Sus scrofa: one gene and its partners. The protein of the gene in region 3 purifies or fractionates together with the protein of the main gene of each other region. This does not show direct contact. Links are inferred from orthologs where the notes say so. Each region holds a gene or a part of one and is shown on either strand. Other genes may lie near its edges.

The links. Proteins that work in one complex are often made in the same cells at the same time.
Region 1: the proteins of TGFBR1 (region 3) and USP15 purify together in Homo sapiens (affinity purification with western blotting; 4 studies listed by BioGRID). This does not show direct contact. The link is inferred for Sus scrofa from reciprocal best matches to the Homo sapiens genes TGFBR1 and USP15.
Region 2: the proteins of TGFBR1 (region 3) and SMURF2 purify together in Homo sapiens (affinity purification with western blotting; 8 studies listed by BioGRID). This does not show direct contact. The link is inferred for Sus scrofa from reciprocal best matches to the Homo sapiens genes TGFBR1 and SMURF2.
Region 4: the proteins of TGFBR1 (region 3) and SMURF1 purify together in Homo sapiens (affinity purification with western blotting; 3 studies listed by BioGRID). This does not show direct contact. The link is inferred for Sus scrofa from reciprocal best matches to the Homo sapiens genes TGFBR1 and SMURF1.

Annotation. Positions count from the first base shown.
Region 1 is NC_010447.5:27,057,418-27,062,470, forward strand, and holds part of USP15 (ubiquitin carboxyl-terminal hydrolase 15), read left to right. Parts: intron 1-2,354; coding exon 2,355-2,528; intron 2,529-4,287; coding exon 4,288-4,446; intron 4,447-4,525; coding exon 4,526-4,750; intron 4,751-5,053. UniProt on the Homo sapiens protein: Hydrolase that removes conjugated ubiquitin from target proteins and regulates various pathways such as the TGF-beta receptor signaling, NF-kappa-B and RNF41/NRDP1-PRKN pathways.
Region 2 is NC_010454.4:14,475,587-14,480,639, forward strand, and holds part of SMURF2 (E3 ubiquitin-protein ligase SMURF2), read left to right. Parts: coding exon 1-12; intron 13-3,024; coding exon 3,025-3,203; intron 3,204-4,155; coding exon 4,156-4,293; intron 4,294-5,053. UniProt on the Homo sapiens protein: E3 ubiquitin-protein ligase which accepts ubiquitin from an E2 ubiquitin-conjugating enzyme in the form of a thioester and then directly transfers the ubiquitin to targeted substrates.
Region 3 is NC_010443.5:240,857,773-240,863,445, forward strand, and holds the start of TGFBR1 (TGF-beta receptor type-1), read left to right. Parts: upstream 1-2,313; 5' UTR 2,314-2,328; coding exon 2,329-2,551; intron 2,552-5,673. UniProt on the Homo sapiens protein: Transmembrane serine/threonine kinase forming with the TGF-beta type II serine/threonine kinase receptor, TGFBR2, the non-promiscuous receptor for the TGF-beta cytokines TGFB1, TGFB2 and TGFB3.
Region 4 is NC_010445.4:6,057,422-6,062,474, forward strand, and holds part of SMURF1 (E3 ubiquitin-protein ligase SMURF1), read right to left. Parts: intron 3,179-5,053; coding exon 3,140-3,178; intron 2,014-3,139; coding exon 1,905-2,013; intron 781-1,904; coding exon 647-780; intron 468-646; coding exon 402-467; intron 1-401. UniProt on the Homo sapiens protein: E3 ubiquitin-protein ligase that acts as a negative regulator of BMP signaling pathway. Mediates ubiquitination and degradation of SMAD1 and SMAD5, 2 receptor-regulated SMADs specific for the BMP pathway.

The sequences.
Region 1 (5,053 bases), on a different chromosome or scaffold from region 3:
ATAGAGTTTAAATGTTTGTTCTTTTCAAGTATTGACAAGGGATGGGGCTAAATAAGTGGTCAAAAGGCAGACCCTTATAAAGATTTGAGATTTTAATATGAAATTTCTTTTAAAGGATTTATAGCAAGGAAGTGACATGATTAAGTCACAAACTTTAGTGACAAACTTAGATCACTCTGAATACTGTGCAACTCTAAAAAATTTTCAGTTACATTTGGAAGCTCTATGCAAAATAGGGGTAAATGTGAATAATTAGAAACAAAGTTCAAGGGAGTTCCCTGGTGGGTTAAGGATCAGCATTGTCACTGCTGTGGCTCGGGTTTGATCCCTGGCCTGGGAACTTCCACATGCTATGAGTGTGGCCAAAAAACTCAGAGTTCAAGAATTATTCATGTTTGCACAACTTGATTCTTTGAAGTGTTTGGTAAAGCACTAGGTTCTTTATATAATTGTGTTATACACAGTAGTAGACTATTCTATTATTAATACAACCCTGAGCTGATCAAATATTGGGATTTGAAAACTAATTGATAATTGTTGTAATGCTGTCTGACCTCCACTTTGCCTCATTGACAGTTTGCTATAGATTTCATTTATACGGTGATACTACTGAATGTTGACATTTGTGCCCTGTGTAGCCATGGTATCTTATAGATTGCCTAGCCCTGCCTCCAGTGCGGGGTTTATAATTAAAAGGACATACATTACAAAAAAAGAAAGAAAATGAAACTCAAAAGGCCTGTAAGATTATAAGGTTGAGATATAAAATGAATTAAGAGGAAAGGTAGAAAAAAAAAAATATTTTCCCATTTACCTCCTACATGCACTGTAGCCTACCTCTATCTTCCTTTGTTCACATAAAAATTTTTACTGTAGCCTACCTCTATCTTCCTTTGTTCACATAAAAATTTTTACTCTTGAGTATTACTTGTAAATAACTGTACAGCCTGAATAGTTCACCTCAGACACTTTTTAACTATTCATATTATTTCCATAGCTTAAGAATAATAAGTTACAAGTTCCATGATATTATAAAAAATTCTCCCTTTTACCCTGAGGTGAGGGCCAGACTAACAATTTGAACAGTATTATTTTTGATTGAAAGTTCCAGAATAGGTATTGTGTACACATAAACTGATTTAAAATTGAAACCACAAAATGTAACACTGTAATTTATTTTTTAACTGAATATGCTTAATTTTGGAGTTTTAACCAAACATACGCATATATAGTCATAGCTTATAGCATCGACGTTATCAGCATCAATGCAGCAGGCTGAATCTTTCATAGTTAGAAAAATTTTTTAACTTAATCCATATGAGTGGTCAGTAAGCTTTGAAAAACTTTTATTTACATTAATATAAATCCAAAATCTTGTAAGAATGGGTTTCTACTACTCTAAATGCAAGCAACCAGCTTCAGTTAAAGCACTTTGCCACTTGTCTCCAACACAGATATCTTCCTGCAGCCAACGAAAAGGTTACCTATATGACCATATGTCTGCATCAATCATTACATATTCTCCTTAATGGCTGTAGACGTCTAATTGATAAAGTAATGTTGGGTTCAAAATGAAGTCACATTATATGGTATTATCCACTTAAAATTATTTCATCTTGAGATAAAATATTATGGAAAAACTGTACTTCTGTAATCTTTTATTTTAAATCCTAAATTATTTAATTCAAAATAGAACAGAGTTGGAGAATTAACTTCTTTATAGTTTCAGTCTTGCTAGAAAGGAAAATTAGATTGTTGTGATATTCAAGAAGAACTGGAAGAAGTAAAAATATAGCCAGAGTGTGTATAACAAAAGTTTGTTTTCTTAGGCTCAGCTAATCTGTACTGTCCCATCTAAAAATGGTTGACCCAAAAGGAAGGTTTAGAAGGCTGCTCTTTCATGATAAGGAATTGACAATGGAAGCAGTAAATACCTCCTTGAATTTCAATTCTCCCACGTACTCCATGTCAGTTGTTACCTACTTAGGCTAATTTGCAGATGGACGGGATGATTAGGCAAATCCATAATTTCTACCAGCCAAGTGAAAGAAGGAAAGAAAATTCTGAGCTTCTCACCCCATTAACAGGTAGTTTGCTGTGGTTAAAATTAAATACAGATCCTACAGCAGTGAATAATTAGTATTTTCATTTACTATAAGTCATTTTAAAATTTGGGAAATAAATAGTTGAGTACATCATTTGAATGTTTATTGGATCAGTTACTTATTAGTGCAAGAGACCATCATGTAAATTCGTCTCCATGTATTATGGCAAATCACTTTGTTAGTTTTTTCATTTAAACATGTTTAACATGTGTGGTTTCTTTTACTTGAAAATATATTTATTCTTTGCAGTGTTTGAGCAATACACCACCACTTACCGAATATTTCCTGAATGATAAGTATCAAGAAGAGCTGAATTTTGACAATCCCTTAGGAATGAGAGGTGAAATAGCTAAATCTTACGCCGAATTGATCAAGCAAATGTGGTCTGGAAAATTTAGCTACGTTACACCAAGGGCCTTTAAGGTAAGTATCATAAACACATTTTCAACAAGGCCTGTCTCACCCTCAAGAGGACAAAATATTTGGGAAAGGGGAAAAAAAATCATAGCTGTTACAGTGGTTTATGACCCCCTAAAGGGACATGACACATAAATAGATACACGGCGTATCTGGTATTAGATTTTCAGAGTGGGGCTTGAAATAGATGATTAAATGTCCAGGAAGAGTTGTGGGGGATAGTAAATGAAATTGTGGAAAAAGGTTGAGAAACACTGGTATGGTTCAGAATGACTATAGAGAGACAGCAGTGAACATTTACAGGTTATTTTATTTTATACAAATGCAGAGACTGAATTTCAGCATGTCATTAAACTCTAAGAACTAAATTTATTTTGAGAGTCATTGTAAGTTTGAAAATTATTGAAATGAAACTACTCTTCATTTAAGCACAAATATTAAATGTATTTTCAATATAATTCTTAAACCTTTAAGATTATTCTTGTGAAGTGGTTATTTCTTAGAATCAATAAAATTTCAAGTAATTATTTTGTCATTCAGATAAAATTGAACTGAAATATAGTTTTATATTGTTAAAAAAACTTTTAATTATATAGATAAGATTTATGAAAAATTTTAAACTTTTGAGGAGAATAAGTGGTTTTCAGCCATTTTTTAATACAACTTAAATGATGTTCATATAGGGCATCTACTAGGCAGCATTTTATTAACATTATACTAGTTCTTCAAAAAACAAAAACAAATCAAAAAACTCCTGTGCTTATCTTCCTTAACTTTCTAAGCCTTGGACAGACTAGTTTAGACAAATCATTTCTTAACCATTACCCATGATTCCAGTTAGTTTCAGTTTGCAAGATGTTCTGTTTTAAAATTAGGTGTAAATAGGTTCTTTTTTTTTTTTTTTTTTTTTTTTTTTCCCCTCCTTTCTTTTTAGGGCCATATTTGCAGCATATGGAAGTTCCCAGGCTAGGGGTTGAATCAGCTGCAGATGCCGGCCTACACCACAGCCACAGCAATGCCAGATCCTGGCTACGTCTACAACCTACATTGGCAGCCCTGGACTGGATCCTTAACCCACTGAGTGAAGCCAGGAATCAAACCTGCATCCTCACAGACACTAGTTGGGTTCTTAACTGGAGCCGCAATGAGAACTCCAAGTAGGTTCTTGTTATTTGACGTTGTTCTTTCACATCAAGAAAGTGAAAAAGAATGTATGTATATGACTGGGTCACTTTGCTTGCTGTACAGCAGAAATTGGCACAACATTATAAATCAACTATAATTTAAAAATACCAAAAAAACAGTGCTGTAAAGACTAGGAAAATATATGTGAACATTGATATTCCTTTTATCTCTATGAGATTATCTTCTCTTTACACACAGAAACTAAATGAGAGCATTGTCTTTTTTTTCCAGTGACTCAAAAAAATTACGGAATTTTAATAGTGTTTAGTGTTTCCCAATCCTTAGTACAAAACTGTACTGTGTTTTCTCCTTGTTTTCTCCTCAGGTCAACTGTTCTTTTCTATTTATCATTTTTAAAATGCTTTTAGGTATGCAGTTATTTACATGTATTTATCCATATGTAATCATCATATCTGTAAATGACTGCAGAAATGCCACAAGTTGATTTTGAGAGTTATAAGTAAAATTTTAGCAAGTAGCTGAATTCACAAACATGGAATCTATAAATGAAAGTCAAGTATATATTTTTGTAATCAGTCTTGTCCCTGGAACTGATTTTATGGTTTTGTTTTTCTTACAGACTCAGGTAGGACGTTTTGCACCTCAGTTCTCTGGATACCAGCAGCAGGACTGTCAAGAACTATTAGCTTTCCTATTAGATGGACTGCATGAGGATTTGAATAGAATTAGGAAAAAACCATATATACAATTAAAAGATGCTGATGGAAGGCCAGATAAGGTAAATTTAACCATATTATTGTCACCATTGATATAATAATGTGATACCTCTGTGTAATATGTGTCTGTTTTCTTTATAGGTAGTTGCTGAAGAAGCCTGGGAAAACCATTTAAAAAGAAATGATTCTATCATTGTAGATATATTTCATGGCCTTTTTAAATCAACTTTAGTTTGTCCTGAATGTGCTAAGATTTCAGTAACATTTGATCCTTTTTGTTACCTGACACTTCCATTGCCCATGAAAAAAGAACGTACCTTGGAAGTTTATTTAGTTAGAATGGATCCACTTACCAAACCTATGCAGGTAAGAAATGATTCTTTTCTTTTCTTTTTTTTGCCTTTTCTAGGGCCGCTTCCCATGGCATATGGAGGTTCCCAGGCTAGGGGTCGAACTGGAGCTGTAGCCACCAGCCTACGCCAGAGCCATAGCAATGCAGGATCTGAGCTGCATCTGCCACCTACACCACAGCTCACAGCAACGCCAGATCCTTAACCCACTGAGCAAGGCCAGGGATCGAACCCACAACCTCATGGTTCCTAGTCAGATTCGTTTACCACTGCGCCACGACGGGAACTCCAAGAAATGATTATTTTCTTGGCATTTGTT
Region 2 (5,053 bases), on a different chromosome or scaffold from region 3:
GCAGTTAATCCGGTATGATTGTGGTTATGATGATATGGATTACCTTGTGAACTACAGTGTTTTTCATCTTTAAGTGTCAGTGAAGTTTATGAAATAGGTTTACTGTCCTGTCCAAGTCACGTCCTTGGACTAGGCAAGTCCACTGTAAGAAATTTTCTCAAGTAAAAATTTTCTGATGTGCAGTAGTTTGGGCACAGGGGTGTTTACTACATCACTGTTTATAGTAGCCCTTAATTGGAGGTAATATTGTTGTCCATAAATGGAGATTGATTAAATTACAGCATGAAGCAGAATATGATAGTAATAGTTAAGAGCATCAAATCTGGAATTAGAAAGACATGAGATCATATCCTGGCCCCATTGCTAACTCGCTTTGTGACCGTAGGCAGATTCACCTGATTGAAGTCTCAGTTTTATTATTGCTAATAATTACATGGTTCGTACCTAGGAGAAGGTTGCGACAGTTAAATGAGACCCTGCACATTAAGTATTTCGCACATCAGCAACCCTATTACATATTATAAAGCATTCAACAAGAGTTAGCAGCTGTTATTAATTTGTTGTTTTCATATTATTTTTATTACCTTCTCATACAAGTACATGTTATACAGCCACTGAAGTGATGTTGTGGGATAATAGTTAATGACATATAAAGATGGTATTTGTAATATATTAAGTGAAAAGAAGATTATAAAATAGTATGATGCAGTTTTGGTAAACACGTATATGTGTAAACATTGAAAGGTTCTACACTACATATTGATGGAGCTTATCTCTGAGTGTTGGTCTCTGGGTTTTTTTAAATTTTTTATTTTATATTGGAGTATAGTTGGTTTACAATGTTGTATTTTATTTTATTATTTATTTATTTTTTTTGTCTTTTTGCCTTTTTCTTGGGCCACTTCCTATGGCATATGGTGATTCCCAGGCTGGGGGTGGAATTGGAGCTGTAGCCACCGGCCTACTCCAGAGCCACAGCAATGCTGGATCCAAGCCGTGTCTGCGACCCACACCACAGCTCATGACAACGCTGCATCCTTAACCCACTGAGCAAGGGCAGGGATCGAACCCGCAACCTCATAGTTCCCAGTCGGATTCGTTAACCGCTGCGCCACGACGGGAACTCCTACAATGTTGTATTTTAGATGTACAGCAAAGTGATTCAGTTATACACATATATAGATATATATATATATACGTAGACTGGTTTTTAGGTTTTTGTTTTGTTTTTTTTGTTTTTTTGCTTGTCTGTTTTCTAAATATTTGTAGTGAACAGTATTGCTCTTTAAAAAGAGAAAGTTTTTTTTAAGATTAAAAAAAAGTGAGGCTTAAAGATAGAGGGTAGGGAGTTCCCATTGTGGCTCAGCAGTAACAAACCAGACTAGGATTCATGAGGATGTGGGTTCAACTCCTGGCCTCACTTGGTGGGTTAAGGATCTGGCGTTGCCTTGAGCTGTGGTGTAGGTTGTAAACGTCGCTCAGAACCCGCATTGCTTTGGCTGTGGTGTAGGCTGGCACGTGCAGTTCTGATTTGACCCCTAGCCTGGGAATTTCCATATACTGCAGATGAGGCCCTAAAAAAAAAAAAAAGAAAAGGTAGAGAAGTAAAAGAGTTTAAAATACATATATCCAGGAGTTCCCGTCGTGGTGCACTGGTTAATGAATCCAACTAGGAACCATGAGGTTGCGGGTTCGATCCCTGCCCTTGCTTAGTGGGTTAACGATCTGGCGTTGCCGTGAGCTGTGGCGTAGGTTGCAGACGCGGCTCGGATCCAGCGTGTGTGGCTCGAGTGTAGACCTGCGGCTGCAGCTCCAATTCAACCCCTAGCCTGGGAACCTCCATATGCCGCAGGAGCAGCCCTAGAAAAGGCAAAAAGACAAAAAATAAAATAAAATACATATATCCAATTAATAATACATGATGAAAAACCAAATCTATTCAAACATAATAGGCATGTTAGATTCATTGCAGGGTATTCTTTATAAAGGGAAGATATTTAGATAAAAGTTCTGCTTGGGGACCCCATTACTGTCAACGTAGTAATAATAGCTCATGTTTGTTGAGCATTTACTGTATGCCAGGTCCAGTGCCTTGAGCTTCATCATCTCATTTTACTCATCAGAGACTTTTTAGATACCATGATTACCCTCATTTTTCCAGATAAGGAAAATTAGTCCTACAAGGGGGTAACTTGCCCACATATGTATAGTTAGGAACTGGCAGAATCAGAACTCCAAGTTAGGTGTGAAATCTGTGTTCTTAAATCTGTGATGTTTTGGGAGTTCCCGTCGTGGTGCAGTGGTTAACGAATCCAACTAGGAACCATGAGGCTGTAGGTTCAATCCCCGGTCTCACTCCATGGGATAAGGACCTGGCATTGGCGTGAGCTGTGGTGTAGGTCGCAGACATGGCTTGGATCCTGTGTTGCTGTGGCTGTGGTGTAGGCCAGCAGCTGTAGCTTCAAGTTGACCCCTAGCCTGGGAACCTCCATATGCACGGGTGCAGCCCTAAAAAGCTAAATAAATACATAAAATTTTAAAATAAAATTTAAAAAAACATTAAAAAAAAATCTGTGATGTTTTGAAGTTCAGTTTCTGATTCGGTCAAGGGAAGAGGAAGGTATGGGATTGAAAGCTTTTTTCCCCATGACAGAGCCAGGATTGTAAAGGACTCAGGAGATGTGAGGAAGGGAAGAGAATAGGATCTGCAGGTGATTTAATGAAATGCAAAGGGCAGTAGTTTGAACCTTAATTTCTAAAGAAAAACTCTACAAAGTGATGCCCTGTGAGAGAGGCCTTGACACTGCTATAGTATTTTATAGCAATGGGTGGAGTATCTTATGCATGCCCTGTAGAAACTCTCCCTAATGATTGTTGGTTTTGATATTTAAATAGTTGTAAATAAGAGTCTAAGTTGATACTTCTTATTTTTCAAATTGCTGTTGCTTAAATACTTAATTTTTATTAAAATTCCCTTGATAGTGTTTACTTGAATATTTATATATAAATTCTTTTCAATTTCAGGAACATTTATCATATTTCCACTTTGTTGGACGAATAATGGGAATGGCTGTGTTTCATGGACATTATATTGATGGTGGTTTCACGTTGCCTTTTTATAAACAGTTGCTTGGAAAGTCCATTACTTTGGATGACATGGAGTTAGTTGATCCAGATCTTCATAACAGTTTAGTGTGGATACTGTATGTATTGAGTCTTGTGTTCATTGTAGTTAGAATATGAGCTTTTAAAAAACATACATGTTTCCTGGCTGGCTCAGGGTTAAGGGTTAAGGATCCAGCATTGTCCTACTGTGGCTCAGGTTGCCCTGTGATGTGGGTTTGATCCCTGGCCCAGCATGCTGAGGGCATGGCCAAAAAAAAAAAAAAAAAAAAGATACACATTTCAAAATGGATATGCTTTTTTTAAATTTAAAAAATGATGCACAGAAAATGTTAAGGGTGATTATCTGAGTGATAGGACCACGTAAGACTTTGACTCTTTGTGCTGCTTTTATGTATATTTCAAATTCCTAAAAGTTAGCAAGTGTTACTACTATAAAAGGGAAAAATCTAGTATATTCTGTTTTTAAAAGAACTTACATATAACAATTTCCTCAACATGATGCAAGTTCTGTTTCCATTTTGCGTGTGTTAGAATAACAAATTTCTGCTGAAGTGGTGATTGTTGAAACCATACTTTAAAAAGGATGTTTGTAAGAATCGGTTCTGTTTTTTGGGAGATCTTTTGTTTATGAAGCTATATTGGCCATACTTATTTTTACCGAGTACACAAGTAGCTTTCTCAGTGGGGTTACTCAGGCATTTGGTCACTCGGGTTACGTAGATTCAGGCAGAGCTTCTTACCTGAAAGCCAAACATAGCTGAGGTTTCCCCGTGTAAAGCCCAGCTTTCCAGGGCTTTCTCTTTGCTCTGGAAGTAAAACGTTCCCTGTGTTTATGAAGTTAAAGCTCTTTTGACTTTTCTGCCTAAGAACTAGGCGATACGGTGGCGTATTAACTAGTAAAAGGAATCTGACCCTATATTTGTCATGTCATAAAACTACCTTATTTTTTTGTCTCACCAATTAATACATCTGTAAACTCTATATTTTAGATTTTCCAAGGAAGTGTCTTTCTTTTTTTTTCCTTTCTAGTGAGAATGATATTACAGGTGTATTGGACCATACCTTCTGTGTGGAACATAATGCCTATGGTGAAATTATTCAGCATGAACTTAAGCCAAATGGCAAGAGTATCCCTGTCACTGAAGAAAATAAAAAAGAATATGTCAGGTAAACACTTTTATGTTCTTAAGCCAGAGGACTGTTTTAATGTTCTAGAATGGCAATACAGAAAAACATTTATGTATTTAGGCAGTGTTATAAAATAGAATGCTGCAGAATTTAGTGGCATAGAAATAACCACCATGTATTTATTTCCCACAATCCCGTGGGTCCGTAGTTTGGGTGGAGGACATAGCGATAGCACGCTGCTCCTCCACGGGATGTCTGTCACCTGGGGCCACGATGGTAAGAATGCCTCTCCCCTCACATAACTGATGCCTCACCTGGACGGCTGGGGGCTGGACAGGATGGACCCTTCGTCACCATCTGCGGCTTCCTTCTCACCGTTGGCTGGCTTCCTTGGTTATCCCCGGGTGCTGTCAGAGGCCTCTCACGCTCTCCTGGCCTCTTTCTCTGGAAACATAGCCAGACTTCTGATGGGGTGGCTGGTTTCTCAGAGAACAAAAGCAGAAGTTGTCAGATCTTTTTAAGGCCCAAGCCTGGAACTCCGCTGTATTCTCTTGGTTAAAGGCAGTCACAGGCCAGCCCAGGTTTGGTGTGGAGGAGGGACTGCCCAGAGGCACGAATACCAAAGACTCATTACTAGCACTTGGCCTATTTATACATAAGCATATTGTGAGTTTACATAAGAAATATATGTTTATATGTATTTCTTAAAAAGGCCAGAAAATGTTCTTGGTTTTACAAAATCACCTGTTGATGGGAGAGTTTAGAAGTGTTTAGTTAGATCATTTGGTTCATGGTATCT
Region 3 (5,673 bases):
ATTTCCACTGAGCCATAATGGGAACTCCTCTAATGTAGATTATTTATGGATCTGTGGCTCATGGAAATTTCCTCTAAATATCCGGAAAAGAAAATGTAAAAATAGTCTGTTTCTCCTTCCTGTTCCTCAGGTTCCTAATGAACATATTCAAATTCATGGAAAATGTGAAGGACCTGGAAGTGTGTCATAGAAGATATCCCAACCCTGATTAACTGAGGCTCTGTAAGGCAAAGGCACAGTATACCACGGACATGAATGCAGATTAGAATCACACAGAGCCGAAAGGGGATGGGCAAAGGAAATGACATTACCAAATATTTACTATGTTCCAGACACTCTTCAGACACATTACGTCATTTCAGGGGCCCAAGACATGTGATTCGATCCCTTTTATTTATAAACAGAGCAGGTACTATTGCATTTCCATTTTAGAGATGAATAACCTAATGATGAGAGAACAGTCACTTGTCTGAGACAAATCATGCATTCATTCACACAATTAGTATCTTTTGAGCTCTTATCTTAAGCAAGAATATTGAGAATAGAGCAGCAAAAAAGCAGTCTAGAGGCCTCAGGTGTCACAAGGCCCTGACTTACCAAGTAACTCCAATGAAGAAACTGGAACTGAAAAAGTAGATCCCTGCTGGAGCCTGGCAAAAGCAGGCTCTCCTAGGTTGGCCTGCCTGCTGCAGGGAGCCAGTGGAAAGCTTCCTGCTGGTGGTTTTAGGCAGCCTCAGAGAGCAGGCTAGAACCTTCCTTTCAGCAGCAGCTGCATCCCTGGGTAGATGGTTCAGTGTGTATGAATACCAGGCCCTTGCCTGCCCAGAGGAGAGGAGCAGGTGAGGGATGTAGAGAGAGGGCCTAGAAGTAGAATTTGAAGGGGGAAAAGAGGGAGTCCTAAATCTTAATATATCCTCTCACTAACTTTGGAAGATTGATACTATTTCCATTTTGTATAGATGAAGAAGTGGAGGCTCAGAAAGGTTAACTGAGTTAACTGAGTTGCTCAAGCCAGAATGGGAATAGTGCCAGTCTCAGATCTCAGCTTCAACACCCCTACCCTGCCTCTTTACTGCTCAGGAGGGAAGTCTTCACAGGCTTGTAAAATACTCACGGAGTATCGCTAGAGTAATTACAAATCAATACTAGAGGCTGGTTCTGAGTCCTGCTACCAAGGTTTATTTAATTCCAAGTTCAAATCACACAGAAAATAAAATTTTCTCCTTAAAAGGTTCTGTGGAAAAATGTTCTCTGTTCTGTGTAACAGCCTTCTCGGTTGTGTTTGTGTCTGAAGAGAGGACTAGTCTGACGGGAAGAATTACAAATCTGGAGCTCATTTTGGCGTCCCAGAGGGAAGGTGGGTGGAGCGTCTCACAGTAAATTAGGAATTCAGAATGAAAACGTAGCCGAGTTTATTTGGGTTTCTAGTGACACCTCAGAATTATTGTGCAGGCGTGTCAGAGGCAGCTCAAACTAATGACTGCTCCTCCTCCGCCCCGGGGGTGCTGCGTGCTAAGAACAGGAATCCCTCTCCTTTGGGCATAGGGATGAGGCTCTTCCCTTGCCCCGCAGAATCAGGAAGGGGGAAGGGGAAAGGAGTGTGGTTTGGAGCCCAGTCTGGGTCGGCTCTGAGTTCCGGAGAGGGGCGGGAGGCAGTTTGGGGGTGTGTCTGAGCTCAGGATCTGAGGTCTGAGGCCAGGATTTGGAGACTTTCTGGGCCTAGAATTTTGGGGTGGGTATCTAGGTTTTGGGTGGATGTGACAGCGGGAGGAAACAGTAGACTGGGTAATATACGAAAGGCACTGAAGCAGCATCGTGGGGCGGGGATTTTGAAAGTTGAGACGTGGATATGGGGAGGGGAAGTTGAAGCCTGCCTGATGGTACTAAGGATCTGGATGAATGTGGGGAATTGATGGTGCAGGGCTGTGAACTGGGGTCGGGCTTAGTACCACATCTTAGGTGAGAAGAAAAGAGGCTAGGAGAAAAAAGCGTCGAGCAGCCACAGCCTTTTTCCGAAAGCAACTCATACCCAGACACACCCATCGCTCAGCCCTTAGCTCTTAGCCCTTAGCCCTTGAAGGCGGGAGCCTCGGCAGCGTCTGGGCTAGACCCTGCCCCCACCCGGCCTCCACGGAACTCGGAGCTGCTCCTGCTGGGGCAGGGGTCTGGCTGCCCGGCCCCCCGGGAGTTTGGGGGCGTGACCAGTGAGCGGAAGCCTGCGGCTCTGGATTGGCTGCCCAGCGGGCCTGTGGGCGGTGCTCCTGGGTAGGTCCCGCTTGGCCGCTTGCAGACGGCGGGGAGGCGGGGCCGGCGGGAGCCCGACAGCCAATGGTCGCGCGGCCCCCAAGCAGTTACAAAGGGCCGGAGCGAGGCCGCCTCGGCGGCGGGGGAGGTGGGGCGAGGCGAAGCTTGTTGAGGCGAGGCGGCGGCCGGGCCGGGCCGGGCCACAGGCAGTGGCGGCGGGACCATGGAGGTGGCGGCCGGTGCTCGCGTTCCCGGCTGCTCCTCTTCGTGCTGGCGGCGACGGCCACGCTGGTCCCGGAGGCGACGGGTGAGCGGCGGCGCGGCGGAGCTGGCGGTGGCTGCGGGGCGCGCCGGCCGGGCCCGGCCTCTGGCTCGCTCCTTCTCTTTCTCAAACATGGCGCGGGGCCGGGGGCGCAGGTGGCGGCGCCCGGGCGGAGGCCGGACTTTAAGTGCCTGGCTGCCGCCACGCGAGCCGCGGGCGGGAGGCCGAGGCGGGGCGAGGGCGTGGGTTCTAGCGCGGGCGGACGTGCCCGGCAGCCCGCGGCCGCCCGAGCTGCAGACTCTGAGGGAGGTAGCGTCGGGCGGAGCCGTCCAGGGTTGGGGGCTGCCCTCTGGGAAGCGAGTGGGCGCAGGCCGAGGGCCCCAGGGTGCGAGGCTCTCCTGGACTTGGAGAGCTGGGGCTGCCCCGAGTCCCCGCTAGTCGCTGTGTGGCGTTGTCCCGGGCACCGCACCCAGAGCTGTTAGGTGCTTCAGGCTCCGGGGGCCCGGGCGGGGTTGGGGGCGGAGGGGGCTTCCAGGGCGGAGTGTGAGCTCCAAGTCTCCAGGGCCTCCTCCAGCAGTGGGAGGGCGCGACGTGTGACCCCCGAGTCAGCAGAGACCCTCGGGTCAGCAGGCCTCCCTGGCCTTCGGCGCCGGTCTGACCCAGCCGAGAGGGGCTGCTTCCTCATCCAGGGGTGGCTTTGGAATGGGAGGTGCTGCGAAGCTTTGTTTGAGGACAAGGAGGCACTGAGATGTGCGGAATGTTTCTTCTTTTCGTGCGTCTGGGGAAGTGTTGAAGTGAATCCACTAACCAGAAGGCTACAAATTGTTTCGTAGTAGAAACTTGAACGTTTGCTCACTCTGCGGGGTTTGGAATGTTTGAATGGAAATGACTGAGTTGATCACACGTTTTATTTCCTCGAAGGACATCTCTAGAGATGTTGCATTTCTTGAGTGACGGTAGTTTTCATCAGTTGTCTGTATAGCTGGTTTTCAAGGGAGAATGTTTGCTGCATTTTCCAAAATATAAATTGGGAAAGGGTATATGGTCATCATCTACCCCGTGGAGGGAGGAGTGAAAAACTTTGTTAGCATCCCAACTATAATACTAGAAACTGAAATATAGAGCCTTAGTATAAGCAACTAAAATAAGTTTCTCTTTCTGTAACTGAACAGCAAATGCTTTTGAAACAAAAAAACTCAGTACTTAGGGTGCCAGATATTACTATAAGCAGCTGTCTAAAGAAGACTTACTGTGGTATAGGTGCATAAGGTACACCAAAAGTGTACTATCTAATCCTCACATCCCTCAGGGCCCAGTGGCATTTGCCCCATTTTATAGATGAGAAAACTGAGGTGTGGAGAGGGTTAAGTATCAATTACTAAGAGCTGGAGTTAGGATTTGTACCAAGGGTTCAGTGTTTGCAAAACCTATACGTTTTAAGATACACACTTAACTGTCTGGCGAAGCCCATTTTTCTTTTTTAGTCCTCTAATGAATAATTGATTTTTATTATTCACTTTTAGATTTTGCCCTCATAATTAGAAAAACAGGCTGGCTTTTTTCTGGCTCCTAGTACATTTTTGGAGTCCTTTCACACCTGGCCTTCATTAGAGGAAACAGTGAATTTTTGACATTGGCCTGAGAAGGGGGTCAAGACAGGTGGGAGAATCAATATAGATATGCATCAAGCATAAAATTAACTCGAATAACACAGTTCACTCTTTTCCACCTAGCTTAGCACACAGAGTGTTCCTATATTCAAGTAACAATATTGGACTTCATTAATGTACAGAGCATGGCTTAGTCTGTGCCCTGGAGGAGTTAATAGACTACACTGGCATGCAGACAAGACAAAGCTGATCCAGGTGCTATCATCCTTAAGTCTAGACTATCTCAACTGGTCTGCCTGCCCTGGTAGGTTACGCTGATGTTTCCATTTATCCTTTCATACATTCTGAAGAAGCTCAGGTCTTTTTATTCATTTATTTTTAATTTTTTTTCCTTTTGCAATCATATCCATGGCATATCGAAGTTCCCAGGCAGTGGATCAAATCTGAACTGTAGCTGCAGCAATGCTGGATCCTTAACCCACTGTGCCAAAGTGGGAACTTCTCAGATGTTTTTTAAAATTTGTAATTTTAAACTCCTTTCTAAGAGTTTGTAGTTGTTCCCTCATTGTCCAGGTTATCAGTTTTGTATTTCTTTGCCCAGCTTCTCTCTCCAACATAAATTTCTCTAGGGAAATTGGTTCCTTGTCATTGGTGCACAGTTTAGTTACCAGTATGTCTGCTTATGTACCCATGTGAGTGTGCTCTTTCATAATGTTTTCTTTGAAAATATACCTGAAACTCAGCTCTTCTTTACATTAATGCTTCTTGAATGTTTCTTCCCCTCATTGGATTCAGCTGTCAGTTTAGTCCTGCCTCTTTTCCCTACCCCCAAATCCATTTGCTTTTCAGTATTTCTCTCGCTTATAGGCTGCTGCCAAGCTAATCTTCCTTAGCCATCCTCTCAAAGGGTTTACAGGATTTCCCATTTGTACTCAGTGCTTAGAGCAGTACTTGAGGCTTATGATTAGGGCCATCACTTAGTACCCAGAGATCTCACATCCCACTACTGCAAACCTTCTGTTTTCCCATTCCTGTGTTTTCCCTCCCATTCCTGGCTTTCTAGTCTTTTCACTACATATTTCATTTTGCCTCATTTGGAAGTATGAGGAGAAAAGTTCTCAATGCTGACTTCTGTACTGGTTTAGTTTGTGAACTCTACTTCCCTAAACTGTATAGCAGTAAGCTTAGTGTTGTCTGTTTCTATCATCTTGCACTGTTACATACTCTGGAATATAAGTGCCCAGAGAGCAAGGAACATACCTTTTATTTCCTTTGTGGTCTTGGAACCTAGCACTATGTTTAGTATTCAGTTCCTCTTAAATGCTTGTCAATTAAATGAATTTCATTTATCTTGAATATTCCTTTAATACTTATGCTGTTATATGTAAGTACAGTTTATAAGTATTTATTGAGAATTCTGTTTATACACAGGAAAATTATGTGATGTGAAAGAAGCAGTTGGTTATTAGTCCCAACATCTAGTTATGCAGAAAATGGGAATGGTACTTATTTTGACTAATTTATGAGATTGTGAAGATCAGGAGAGAAAGTTGTATT
Region 4 (5,053 bases), on a different chromosome or scaffold from region 3:
TCTGCCTGTTTCATGTTCGGCGGGTCTTCCTCAAGAGCCTCTTTCTCAGCACTTGCGTGTGTGGCCACCGTTTTTATCACCTACCCTTGGGTACCATGACAACTAACTGCCCATCAGCGTGAGGGTTAAAAATGACACTAACAATTATAACCCTCCGTCTTTTTTGTACCTCGGTCACTTTAACTCCACCTTGAATGACAGACTGAAGAGCACCAGGTAACATACTTAAAAAAAACCACACGAGATGAAACGTTTCAGTACTGGACAGAGATGGGCCCCGAGGGTGGTCTGTCCTTTCAGTGTCACCATGGGTCAGTGCCTTAGAGTGTTTCCTCGGTGAGGAAGAGCTGAATGGTACGTTCTGTAAAAGTATCGCTTTATACAGATGAGAAAGTTCTTACCCACTATTTGGCCACGAACTGCATCAGTATCTGAGGGATTTAGTTTGCATAGATCCAGACGCTGGTCTGCAAACAAACAATTCAAAACTTAACCCAGGGAAAGGTACACCAGGGAGGAAGGCAGGAGTTCTGCATTTAGTACAAAAAAAAAAAAAAAGAAAGAAAGAAAGAAAGAGCGAAAGAAAAGGATGCCTCGTAAGCTTTCTTCGGTTACATCAAGAGGCAGAAAAGCGCCTGGGCCTTACATCCTGTGTCTTTCAGTCTGCTGACGGCATTGGACAGCAGCCGCACACACCCCAGGAAGCCAGCTCCCTGCTTCTTGTGAATCTTCTTGTGGTTCCACACGCTGATGGTTATGGAATCCGTTTTCCCAACGTATCTGAAAACAACACGCAAGCTCTCTGGTGACTGTATTTCTCACTTAGGACAGCCCGCTGGGGTTTTATCTGACCTGCTAGTACAGGAGAATCCTTTGAAAATAATGCTGGCTCAATAAACGTGTGTTACTAAGGCCAGTGGCTTAGGGAAAGGACTACATCCGGTTGTGGGAGACACAGGTGTAGACAACCCCACACTGAGAACAGTGATCTTGGAGACCTACTATGTTTTAACAGTTCCGAAGCTAAGGGCAGGATCCGTAAGTTCCCACCGCCTAGGCTTCACATGGAGAGCACTCGTCTGTGATGCAGGACTCCTTGCCTCCCTCCATCCACCCGAGGCCCTTCGGTCGAGCCCACACTCAGTGCAGGGCAACCAGAGACGGGCGCTTTCAGGTCGAGAATCGACAGCCACTGCCCAGGTCACTGCCAGGGCTTCGGGGTAACAGAAAGTGACACTTAGGATCCAACTAATGAAAAATCCCACTCAAACCCAGTTTAGGTTGTGTAATAAAAAAACCAATAATCACTTAATGTAACTTTAACAAAAGTTTCTGAGCAGGGATGTGAACACAGGTGCCTATAAAACAGTGATTTTCAAAGCGCATCCATTTAATGACAGAACGCAATGTGGGCTTAGGACATTCAGTCATATCAAACTATTTTCTCTTGCAGAAACTATATTTGTACTAAAAGCAGGATTTTAGAAAATGGACAGAAAAGACATAGTCACGTCATAACGACATACAATAACAGTGTATTTTAAGCAGTGTATTTGAAAACCATGTTCAGGGTTTTACTGAAAAGCAGGAGCACAGAGAAGCCGTGAAAGTATGGCCCTTTTTTCCTGTGAGAAGGGCCAGGAGATTGAAAGTTCGAAGATCACAGTTATAGACACAAACCATAAACATGTCTGAAAACATCAAATCCAAGAACTTCCAGGAATATGAATTCTAAAAGCAGGCAGTGTGTATTTGTTTGCCTATCCCCATTTTTCGCAATAAGTAGTTAGTTACTGCTCTTTTTTTTTTTTTTTTTTTTTTTTTTGAATTACATGCTTCTCTTACGAGCTGGATACCTAGGTTCCCGGCGCTGCGCAAGTGGCTAAGAGGATAGTCAAACTCACAGGTCGTAGTGCTGGTTCCACTTGGGGTCCAACGTGTTTTTCACAGTGTCCGTCGAGTGGCACTGCCCAGATCCGTCCACAACGATCTTGGCAAAGGGGTCGGGGAGTCCTAAGGGGCAGAGGACAGCCACACCGGATGAGGCTAGAGATGCATCAACAGGTCACAGGCCCGCAGGTAAGGGGAGCTTCGAGATCATCTAATTTGGTAAAGAAGCTTCTTACCCTGGTATATCTATGATTCTCAAATGTAAGGTTAGTTTTGATCAGCAAGATAAGGTATTTCCCTTCAGCTTTTCTAGGAAAAGTGACCCACAATGATATCCTGCTCAGATGTTTGGAGGCTAGAAATGCAAACTATAAAAATAGGCTTCAATCCAAACTTCCATTTCTGAGGATCCTAGTTAAACAGAGGAAAAGGTGTCTCCAATTAATTCTATTCATCCTTTCTTAAAAAAATAATAATACCTAGAAATCTTGTTTACTGGCCTTGGTCTATTTTATCTACACAGAAGCAAGGATTCACCAGGTCTTAATTAGGTAAGTGCCCAAATGCTGGAGAATGAATCAGACAGGTTTAAAAGACCAGAGAGGCGGCCAGGTGAGGGTTGCACAGGCACACCTGGATGTGACCCATCACTCTGGAACTCCTGGCTACTTGAATAAAGCCTGTGAACCTCAGTTTCTCCATCTTGCGAGTGTGAATAAAACCACAGAGGAACCAAGCAGCATTCCCGCAACGATCAGAAAGCACGAGAACAACTTCGTGCCCCAGGCACCTCCTCTACACGAGGTGAATTTCTTAAGGGGAGAGTCCTTCCTTTAGAAAAGGATCTTTTTTTTTTTTTTTTTTAAGATTCCTTTAATTACAAGGCTTTTAAAGTGTGACTGAATTTATAAAATGTGACTAACAATTTTACTCCAGACTTACAGAAAAATGTCTCATCTGTATCTGAGTGAGAACACTTCACCCAGCAGAAGGCAACATACCGACGGATGGAAAGACAGAGGACACAGGGTGTGGCCAGAACAGGGAAAGAGAGAGAGTCCTTTGTGTAGGAGTTATAGATCCTGCGCCTTGGAGCTAAGGCGCCTCTAAGTCGTAACCAACGGGGAAGTGAAGGCAGGGCTTTCAGGAGAATACAACACAGTGTATTTGTTTGGTTTTAAATTTTAAATTTCAGAAATAGTTGAAGAACATTAATATTCTAAGAAAGCAAAAATGGGTGTGTACTTACGGAAGAAGTCTTTCTTTGCAAGGTTCTTGGCGCATAATACTAAAAACAAACAAAAAGTGCTAGGGTTAGAATTTATGGACTCGGTTTTCACCATAGTCAGTTGCTCTGACTGGAACTGCATCCCATCCAACACGCGTGCTGCGGCTCTAGCCCCCAGGGTGCCTGGGGTTAGATGAGGTCCCCAGGGGGACCTCCTCCTCCTGGAAAGGAGCCCACAGGGCTGCTGGCTCCCCTCTGCTCTCCGTGTCCACCAGCCAAGGAAGAGGGCCCTTAGCTCGCCAAGAGCCGCCTCTGCCGGCACCTTGGTCTCAGGCTTTTCCAGCCTCCAGAACCACAAGAAATAAATGCTGGTTGTTTCCGCCGCCAGTCTATGGTCTTTTGTTAGAGCAACCCATACTGACTGAGGCACTACTCTATATTTGCAAAGGAAAAAAACAAAAACAAAAAACCAAACAAACCTCAAGATTATCTTTGCCATTGATTCTTTGAAATTTAGGGTTACGGTAAACAAAACACTGTCAAGTAACGAGTAAGAGCTTTCTCCTCCAATAATTAGAATCAACAACAGCACATCAAATTATGTTTTAAACTTAAAATCTTCATAGCACAGGGAACTATAGACAATCTCCTGAGACAGACCATGATAAAAAATAGTAGTTTTAAAAAAGAGCATATATATGTATGGCTGAGTCACTTTGCTGCATGGCAGAAATGAGCAAAATGTAAATAACTATACTTTAACAAAAAATATTTTTTAAAAAAAACCTTGGAGTTCCCGTCGGGACACAGTGGTTAACGAATCCGACTAGGAACCATGAGGTTGCAAGTTCGATCCCTGGCCTTGCTCAGCGGATTAAGGATCCGGTGTTGCCGTGAGCTGTGGTGTAGGCTGGAGGCTACAGCTCTGATTTGACCCCTAGCCTGGGAGCCTCCATATGCTGCAGGAGTGGCCCTAGAAAAAGGCAAAAAGACAAAAAAAAAAAAGATCTTGTGAACCCCCTCCCCAAAAAACTTAAAATCTTAGTTAAATGCATACAGCTACATCTAGCAATGTGCTCTTCTATCTACAAAGGAGCACATTAAAACCAACTCAAATGAAGACCTATGCGATTTACCTTCACAGCTACTGCTAACAACAAAAGGGAGCGCACATTTTTGATATTCTGATAAATAATACAGTTTTGTGAATGTCACCTGTGGTATGCTGGAGAATAGAAAGGAGAGAGTGACAGAAAATATACGGGGCCATCATCAAGTGTTGTGACAAACAAATGACAAAACGCATGTTAAGAATTTAGCACATGCTGGCATGCAGAAAGAATGCAATACATGCAATTGTTATTTTATTAATAAGGCGGCATTGATTACTGATAGGAAATTTTGTCATCGGATCTGTTACTCTATCAAGGGAAAATGCACCAATATCTCGTATTAAACAGCTTCACGAATTTGGCTATTTTTTTAAAAATATCATGTTTTATAGTGCACTTATTTTATTAAAAATTTCATATTACATATTGTGCTGCAAACTTTTCACTTATGATAATTTTTATGTAACTTTATCAAGACACAATTCGTATACCATACCATCCAACCATCTGAAGTGTGTAACTCAATGGCTTTTAATATGCTCACTGGTGTATAACCATCACCACAATGAATTCAGAACATTTTCATCATCCCAAAAAGAGATCCCATGAGCCATCACTCTATTCAACCTCAAACCCACTCGTCCTGGGCAACCACTGTTCTACGCCATGTCTCTGTGGATTCACTGATGCTGGACATTTCATATAAATGGAATCATACAACCCGTGGCATTTTATTTATGACTGGCTTCTCTCACTCAACATGTTTTTAAAGTTTATCCAGGTTGTAGCATGAATCAACACTTCATTCCTTTTCATAACTGAG